2 linked regions of the Oryzias latipes genome follow. The protein of the gene in region 1 binds, or shares a complex with, the protein of each later gene. Links are inferred from orthologs where the notes say so. Each region holds a gene or a part of one and is shown in the gene's direction. Other genes may lie near its edges.

The links.
Region 2: the proteins of tacr1a (region 1) and tac1 are in contact, whole or in part, in a cryo-EM structure (PDB 7P02), measured with the Homo sapiens proteins. The link is inferred for Oryzias latipes from reciprocal best matches to the Homo sapiens genes TACR1 and TAC1. Residues at the interface, in NP_001049.1 of Homo sapiens: Gln24, Phe25, Asn85, Asn89, Tyr92, Ala93, Asn96, Trp98, His108, Asn109, Ile113, Gln165, Met174, Arg177, Val179, Cys180, Met181, Ile182, His197, Val200, Phe264, Phe267, Phe268, Tyr278, Leu279, Ile283, Gln284, Tyr287, Met291; in NP_003173.1 of Homo sapiens: Lys60, Pro61, Gln62, Gln63, Phe64, Phe65, Gly66, Leu67, Met68.

What each region holds. Positions count from the first base shown.
Region 1 is NC_019867.2:25,963,983-25,968,494, reverse strand, and holds the start of tacr1a (substance-P receptor-like), read left to right. Parts: upstream 1-1,668; coding exon 1,669-2,072; intron 2,073-4,512. UniProt on the Homo sapiens protein: This is a receptor for the tachykinin neuropeptide substance P. It is probably associated with G proteins that activate a phosphatidylinositol-calcium second messenger system.
Region 2 is NC_019869.2:20,881,680-20,886,021, reverse strand, and holds tac1 (protachykinin-1 precursor), read left to right. Parts: upstream 1-1,638; 5' UTR 1,639-1,648; coding exon 1,649-1,765; intron 1,766-2,392; coding exon 2,393-2,495; intron 2,496-2,598; coding exon of another isoform or gene 2,599-2,622; intron 2,623-3,556; coding exon 3,557-3,613; intron 3,614-3,693; coding exon 3,694-3,740; 3' UTR 3,741-3,754; downstream 3,755-4,342. UniProt on the Homo sapiens protein: Tachykinins are active peptides which excite neurons, evoke behavioral responses, are potent vasodilators and secretagogues, and contract (directly or indirectly) many smooth muscles.

The sequences.
Region 1 (4,512 bases):
TCTTAGTTTCTTGATTTTTTTTTATTTTAACTTTTTTTTCATTCTCAGTTTAAGTTTAGTTTTTCATTTCTGCACTTCAGTGCACTATCTTTTCAGCTGCTTTCTTAGTTAAATACTTATTTAGTCTGTTAAAGATTTATTTATTTAGATTTTTTTTTTACAGTCAGTCTTTGCTAGAGCCTGTTGCCTTAACCCCTTTGTTCTCTGTCTCTGAACAACCATGCACGTGACCATTTTGGGCAGTAAATTTACTGTCATATGTTGACTGGATGAAAGAGGTGGCTTAACTAAGACAGGTTCAAACAACAATCTGTTGATTTGAAATAAATTGAAGCTGCTCATACAATCATAGATCAGAAAGGATTTTTGCTATGTGTGTGGGCAGATTGAATAATAGCCAAAAGGTGAAAGCGTGACAGTCATGGCAGCAAAAGTGGAAGCAAAACGTTTTCTTTACTTTGACACTTGGAATGTTTCTGTTGTATTTAGTGAAATGTGGAAGTTCTGCCATAATTGACCTGCTTGCAGTGCATTAAATACCATGGATAATGCACCTTTGTTTTAAACTAAAAGCTCACAAGAGCGAGACAAAAAACATGACAAAGGGACAAACAGCTCTCACCGAGACTGGTGGATTCTAAAGGTAGCCGTTTCTAAAAATGTGTTACATGGACCAAGTAAAATTAAAATCACTTGTTTTTCTTTTCATTTTTTTTCCCCATTTCTATAAATTATAAATCAAATGTTGTACATGTTCCTGAATGTTCAGTTCACAAATATGAAACCAAGAGGGGGCAGTGAGAACCAATGTTGGAATTTTAGCGCAGCGCATCATTGAACACCACATCATATAAGACAATCAATGAGATATGCAGTATACTATGAGGTTAACTATTTCAGCATCAGCACATGATAAATACAGACTCTGGGAGTGCTTTTGTTGAACTTTTGCTTTCAAAAATTTTTCTTTACTGCCTGCCTGATTATTTTAAGCCTCTTTGCCAGATTGATGTAACATTGTCCCCCCCCCCCCCTGCCCCATCCGTATGTTGTATTATTGTCGACAGATGAATAATACGCAAATTAAATCAGATAGAGGGCATTTAAGCATGATAATCCGTCTGGAGTCCCCATGCGGTTTTATTCGGAAGGAATGAATAACTTACCTCGCTCATCCATAATCATAATCACTGAGCCTGCCCATTGGACGGGTGCGTACTAGCTCCCTTCATAAGTGGGAGTGCAGCTGCTCAGATCGAACAGAGAAACTCGAAGAAGGCGCTCAGACTCTGAGGGTGAGAGGACGAAGCTGAGCGTTCTGTTGTGTGAGACACGATAAGGCAGCGCGCACTCCTTCTACTGCTGTGCCGCGCGTAAAAGCCGTTCCATTTTTTTACGCACAGTCTAGAGTGGCAGATTTTTGAGATTTTGTCGAACCTAAGGTTTAAGATATCTTTTTATATGAATTTCAAGACAGAGAGGCCTTCAGGTGGACACTTTGCCGAGATCAGTCTGAACTATAATCGGGAAAAGGAGGCATTTTCCCCCAAATGAGCGCAAGGTTGCAAGGTTTTCTGAAGTGACCTTTTCTTCACTGTTTCACCGGAATTATTCACTTCAAGTCGTAATGTTCAGTGGGTAGTCTCCACTTGCTGTCACAACAATAGAATGGATCCTCTGTTTAATACAAGCGCTGTGCCAAATTGGACTGCGAGCCCCAACGACACCGACAACGACAAAGAGTACGGGAACCAGTTTGTGCAGCCTGTCTGGAGAATCGTCCTCTGGGCTATTGCCTACAGTTGTATCGTTATAGTGTCAACAGTAGGCAATGTTACGGTGATCTGGATCATTATGGCGCACAAACGCATGAGGACTGTCACCAACTACTTTTTGCTGAACCTGGCTTTCGCCGAAGCCTCCATGTCCACCTTCAACACGGTGATCAACTTTGTCTACGCAGTGCACAACGAGTGGTACTTTGGACTGGTCTACTGCCGATTCCAAAACTTCTTTCCAATCGCCGCTGTCTTCGCCAGCATCTACTCCATGTCTGCGATCGCTCTGGACAGGTACGTATGCTGCTCACGCTGCGCTTGTGTCGATAAAAGACAGATGACAACATATGTGTGGAGAAAAACAAAAACCTTACAATACATAAAGTTCCATAACATGTTTTTTTTCCTCTGTTAAAATTTATATTAGTGAGAACAATTTAGAATTGCTTGGTTAATAATGCAGAAATATGACACATTTTCTAAACGCAGAGATAAAGGAGTTCATGGTGATAAAACCTTATTTAAAATCAGATTTCAAAATCTCATGATGGAGTTTTGCTGCAGTCTGCACATCAATGCAGTCTCTTAAATCTGAGCTGTGCATAGAGCCCCCCTCCCCAACAAAACAAAGATTGATTGTTTTAAACATTTGCAATAGATAAATGATTTAGACAAGCAAGTGCAGCTCCCAAAAGCAGATTGTTCAAAATTGTTATGACCTTGTGGCATCATCTGTTCATATAAATATGTAAAAGTCTGTCAGAAGATAATAGTGCTTTCTCTATTTAATGGGCATCTCCTCTACACAATGCCATAGAATGAAAATGAATATGTAAAAACCAAAGTTCTGTTGGAATGTGTAACATGTTCTGTGTGTTTGTGTCACTGTCTCACTGTTTTAACAGGTTTGTCTTGTTGTGCATTCATATGAAGTGTGTGTTTGAGGGTGCAGATTTAGTCCTGGATGCATGAGTTCCACATCTGAGCCAAAGTCGGATAAAGCCCCAAACATGATCATTTTTTGCCTCTTTTTTGTCTTTTTTGCATATGGCAGGTCACATAATGGAAATAGCTGGCAGGTCTTTTTAATCAATTTTAGCAAGAAATGTGTGATTGACATTTTTTGAGAGCTCCAAAGAGACAGAAAACAACAAAAAAGATTAGAGTGGCATCACGCCACAGTATAAACACCTCACTTCCCTGCTGCCAGTTTGCTTTAAATCTGTATGAGAAAACATTCTCATTCCTTCCTGTTAAAAAATGAAGTTTTATTTTTGCAGGAAAGCAATTAAATGAATTTGTTAATCCAGTGGAAGAGGTAATGAAAACAATTTTAATCAGAGGTGAGGAAAGTTTTTTATAAGGGGAATCAACTAATCTTTTCCTTTTCAAATTCTTGATTTCTCTGAGCTGAAGAGCTCCCGTGTATTTTTAGATGTGACACCCTCTGAAAAATACAAATGGAGATCTGTGGGATCTCATCACAGGTAGTGTTGAGACTCTGCTTCATTGTATTGTCTGCTGTGAGAGTGCCATGGGGTTCCTGCACTGCACAATTCACAGATTATCAGTAAAGCTGGGTGCCAACAACAGTGTGTTGGCTTCTTCAAAACAGCCCACCTGCAGCCTCCAGGCTCATGAAGTCGTTCAAAGGATGCAACATGTTTTTCTTGGATTTTATTTTTTCTAGCTTTAAAGGAAACTGAGCTTAAGAACTATATCAGTTAAGACTTTCATATATTATCACTTATTAAATCGCAACTTTTATGTATATCATTATTTTGCTCTGCCAGTCATAAAAATGCCTTTCGAGGCAAACCATCCAAGTTGTGCCCTATCCCTTCCCTATCTTCTCTGGGATAGGCTCCAGCATCTCTGTGACCCTTAAAGGGATTGAGCAGGTTTAGAAAATGGATGGTCAAAAAAAGACATGAAAAACAGTAACTTTGGTCAGTGAGTTGAAGTTAAATTTAAATTAATTTAAGCAAGAACTAATTCAAGGCTTGATGTGAACCTGAACTTGGTTTTAGTATTTATTAACAAAATGTCTGGCTTAATTTTTTTCACTCCTAAAGGGACAGCTGTGGCTTGGAGGTAGAGGAGTCTCCTAGGGAACAGTTGGCGGTTCCATCTCAAAGTGCCTTTAGGCAAGACACTGTTTGCTGAGTTCTCTCTGGCGGGTTAAGCTAAGCGGCATGGCCGCTTCCTCAGTAGTGTATTATTGTGGGAGAAAGTGAGTACCGGTAAATGAGAAGCCGCGTAAAAGTGTGTTGAGTACCAGTAGCCAATAAAGTACTATCCAAGTGCAGACTGTTTACTATTTTCCATCATAATTAACACAATCCAGATGATCAGCAGCTCTTTCAGTGTTGTTCTTTTGATAATGTGTTAAAATCGATACAGTAACAACACTGTGGACTCAGCCAAAAACAAAAGTCCAATTGTTTTATAGGAGGCAGAGTTGCTATAAAGCAGTGCTTCTCAAAGGGGGGGCACGCAGAAGTAGCGGTTTTAGGCACGGGCACAAATTTGACAGGGCGCGTTGGTGACAGGGGCTCAGTGCTTGGAGAAAAATCTGCGCCACTATGGAATTATTATTATCTGTTATATGACAGAGTTTGTAACAGCCTGAAACCTGTGAACTGCCGTCCCTGCAACTGCGCGCTCCTGTCACACGCGTGTGTGAGAAGGAAAGGGGAGGGATAGTGTGCTCAGGCTGCCAGGTGGAACCGCA
Region 2 (4,342 bases), on another chromosome or scaffold:
ACAATGGAACACGATGCCTCAACTGTTGGGTTGTTGGTCTCCTTCATGTTCTGGGACAAAGAGTTGGCCTAAATCTGAGTGTCTAAAGCTAAGTTCACACTGGGAATGTGACGCGTGATTAAGAACAGGCTAGTTCTTAAATGCGCATTTAGCCCATGGTGTTCACACTGAACAAGCATCTTTTTCATCTATCTATCGATCGATCGATCGATCGATCGATCGATCGATCGATCGATCGATCGATCGATCGATCGATCGATCTATCTATCTATCTATCTATCTATCTATCTATCTATCTATCTATCTATCTATCTATCTATCTATCTATCTATCTATCTATCTATCTATCTATCTATCTATCTATCTATCTATCTATCTATCTATCTATCTATCTATCTATCTATCTATCTATCTATCTATCTATCTATCTATCTATAAAAATATTTGAACCTCTGACATAAAATACATGGCAAACACAAAAAAGGCTCAGACAAACAAGAAATATACAAAATTTAAATTTAGCTACATTTGCTGGTCTTTTACATAATATCTTCTGCGCCTAGCAGTTGTGTGTTCAGGGCATTTATTTGTATTTTTTCCACTATTGTTGAGCCATAGAGGTGATGTGGGGACTTATTAAGGCCTTCGTTACCAGCGGGCGTGTAACAAAGATGTTAAGGTGTTGTTGTGCTGTAATGGTGCTGTTCAATTAAATTAAATAGCAGAAAAGCAACTAAGTACATTTTCTCTTTTTCAAGACAGATTCTCTGCAGAAATGCTGCTCACATTGTTGCTGAAATCTGTTTTAGAACAAAAAAAAACAAAAAATTTCTTAGACTAAAAGCGCAAAAATATCGGAAGATTAAAATAATTCTTTTAAAATCCCCTTTTCTTTCCAGTTCAAAGCTCGCCTCTTTGGATCTTCTGTCTCCATCTAACCCTACATTCTGCTGTCACCTCGCCCACACTGCTGTCCTCCACCACATTCACGCTCATCCTCTTTTCACCTCAATGTTCCTTGGAAATTCTGACATCAGCCTTTAACCCTTCAATGTTTTCACAAAAATCCATGAATATTGATCCTATGCTTCCTTGTCACTCCCAAAGAAAGACGAGCTAAAAGCCTAAACATCAACAATTCCGAAAAGTAAAGAGGTTAACGTTTGTATGAGCAACTGCTGCACGTGCTCAGAACTGCAAAGACCTCCTGGTTCATTCATATCTGCAGCTCCTTCTCTCATTGGTCAGAACGGTTCTGAGCCCGGTTCAAAGTCCTGGTCATGGCGTGGTTTGATGTATCTTACTAAAGAGGGCTTTTTCTGTGGGTGGGGCACTGAAATTGTAGACACGCCCTGTGGATGAGGTGCACACGTGCATTTTTGGAACTTTCTAAATGTAAATCTAGTTTTACTTCATATGAACATGAAGTTACTTTTTTACAAGCGGGGCACGTTACTCTAGTAATCCTGCTTCTTACTAAACGACGACGCAACAAAACCGCGTGGGGACAGAAGAAAAGGAGGCGCGCGCGCCCGGGACTTGTTGCGCTAGAAGAAAGGTAGCGGCGCGCGCGCGCGCGGCACCGCCTCCGCGCGGCGCCCAGATAAAGTGTGTCAGCGCGGACGATGCAACTCTCAACGCTTGAACCATGAAGCTGCTGCTGCTGCTGTCCGCGCTCGTGGCTCTGCTCACCGGCGTGCGCGTGCTCTGCCAGGACCCCGAACCCAAGGAGGACGCGGACTACTGGACAAGCACGAACCACCAGGTCAGATCCGCCGACTGCAACTGGAAGGGGAAAGACACAAGTAGTACTGATTGAATTTAAGGTTTTATAGTTTTATTTTCACTTTTATTTTTATTATTATTATTATTATTATTATTAGAGAGGAGCAGCAGTTTTTCATTTAATTCTGCACATTCTGTAGTTGTGTTACAAAAGTCTGGAAATTTCAGAGACAATTCAAACTACGTCCACCCCCTATAATAATAATAATAATAATAATAATAATAATAATAATAATAATAATAGATTAATCCAGAGAGAAATTTCGCAACATCTCTTTGGTGATTTGAGTCTGAGTAGGGCCTGGATCGAACCAGGATTGGCTGCTGTGCACCAGCGTTCGGACAGTAGCTGCTTCCACATGTCCGGTCTGCTCCGGCACAGCCTGATGAATAAGGCTGCCACAAATCATGGGGAGGAAGACACCCACTAATGTGTTCAGAAGAGATCCATCCTGAGAGACTGAAATAGAAACTGAGAAGAAGGGACAATTATTCACTGCTGGATGGGGTGGGGGGCATTTTATTCTGGGTTTCTATTTTATCTGCTGTGGTCATTTGAGCAGATAGAGTTTTAACACTCTGGATTTGATCCCCCCCACCCCACCAGGACGGCTGGCTGTCCAGCGAGCCGCTCAGAGAAATGCTGCTGAGGATGACGAGGAAGCCGCGGCCGCATCAGTTCATCGGCCTGATGGGGAGGCGCTCCACGGGTGAGGGCTGTTCCATTTGTGTGTGTGTGTGTGTGTGGATGAGCCGCTCACACTCTATGTCTCTGTTTGCCCCCACCTCCACCCTACCCTTACCCCCCTCCAGCAAACGCACAGATCACCAGGAAAAGTAAGTGTCCATTCTGATCTTCAGTTTTTTTGTCATGAAGTGAGAATTCGGTCCCCCACCCTTCCCCTCCAGCTTCTTGCATGTTCTTGCTGCTGAAGCTCCGATTCAAGCCCTCGGGAGGAGACACCCTCATCACGACCCCCCCCCCCTTCCCAACACCACCTCCCATACCTTCCTGAGAAACAAAAAGCTGAAATTTCCTGTTAATCAGTGCTTTGAAGTGAAGGTGGGAGGGAAACGGGGAGGGGTGGGCTTTATTTATGGACAGTGTTTGAGCTCAGCAGCGGTTCTCCTTATTTAATCTGTCAGACGTGGGGGGGTGCAGAAAAAAAGGGAGAAGCGTGGTGGGGAGTCCGCCCTCTTTGTAAACATTTTTAATTAGTCGCCCCCTCAGGGATGGAGCGGTGGCAGCAAAGCGAGCGTTCGCCCAAGCGCACACGCACTTGCACAGCTGTCAGTCACGATGAAGAGGAAGGACTACCCTTCATCATTGCTTCAAGGACACAACTGTTTAGACGGGGACCCCCCCACCCCCAACCTGGAGCGAGGCCATCAGCTTAATACATATTGATCTGTCAGTTATACAGCCCCCCTTCCCTGAATGTGATTGACGGGCAGCTGCTGTCGGTTGTCGGATGTCAGGCTCCTCTTCCTCACAGTCGGGCCCGCGTCCAGATGATGAAGATGTTTTCCATCAGGGTGCCAACTGCCGCTCTGTAAAGAGAAGCGGTCAGTTTAGATTTCTCCAGGGAGCAGCCGCTGCAGATTCAATCGCTGCGATCGGAGAGGAGCTCCAACCAATCAGAAACCGCTCAGGGTCAAAGGTCACAGGGAGGCTTGACTGGACACAAGTGTGAAAGATGGGTTAGGTCTGATGTGCTACATGAACGCGTGCCACGAATTCCCACTAATCCGTGTCATATTTGCCCTGAAGGACATAAAGTGAACTCGTTTGTGGGGCTGATGGGAAAAAGGAGCCAAGAGGAACCAGGTGAGTCCACTTTCACCCAAATGAGCCTGAGGTTCTGCTGATTTCTCTGGCAGTGATCCGAGCCTGTCGTCTTTCTGCAGAGTCATACGAGTGGAGCACAATACGGACGTACGACCAGCGGCGCTGAGCACCTGTCATCTTCTTGTCTTGCGTGTGTGTTGGGGGGGGGGGGGGTATTTTTTTTCCTTGCTATGTATAAATGTTAGCTGAATAAAACGACTGTTTTCATGTTCTGGTGATGACTCTACCTGTGCCCGTCTGGTTTGTACCAGCAGAAGCTGGGCAAAAGAAAGTGGGGAGGAGGAAGGAGTGTTTCTGTTTCGTCTTTTTTTTTTTTTGACAGCCTCCATCTGCTGCAAACCCTGACAAATGGGTCCCATCCAAGTCAGTTTTACCTGAGGGGGGGGTTCATCACTGCAGATGTCTGTTAATTTCCATCCAACGCATCTGGATAGATTCCACACCTTTAAGCGCTTCTCTTTACGTGTCTGCATGTGTGCTGTATTGACGCAAACCGCCCCTACCGAGAACATCAAATGACCATCAACAAACTTCATCAAGAATTCTGCACCAGAGGCGCAGTTCAGAAATTCTGGAGTGAGGCAGCGCTGCACCCTGGTGGTTTTGTGGAAGAACATCATTTTATTAAAACCTTCCAGTACACACACACGACACAACTACCTTCTAAGCATGACAGACTAGAGCACACCTGCACGCATGCATGCAAAT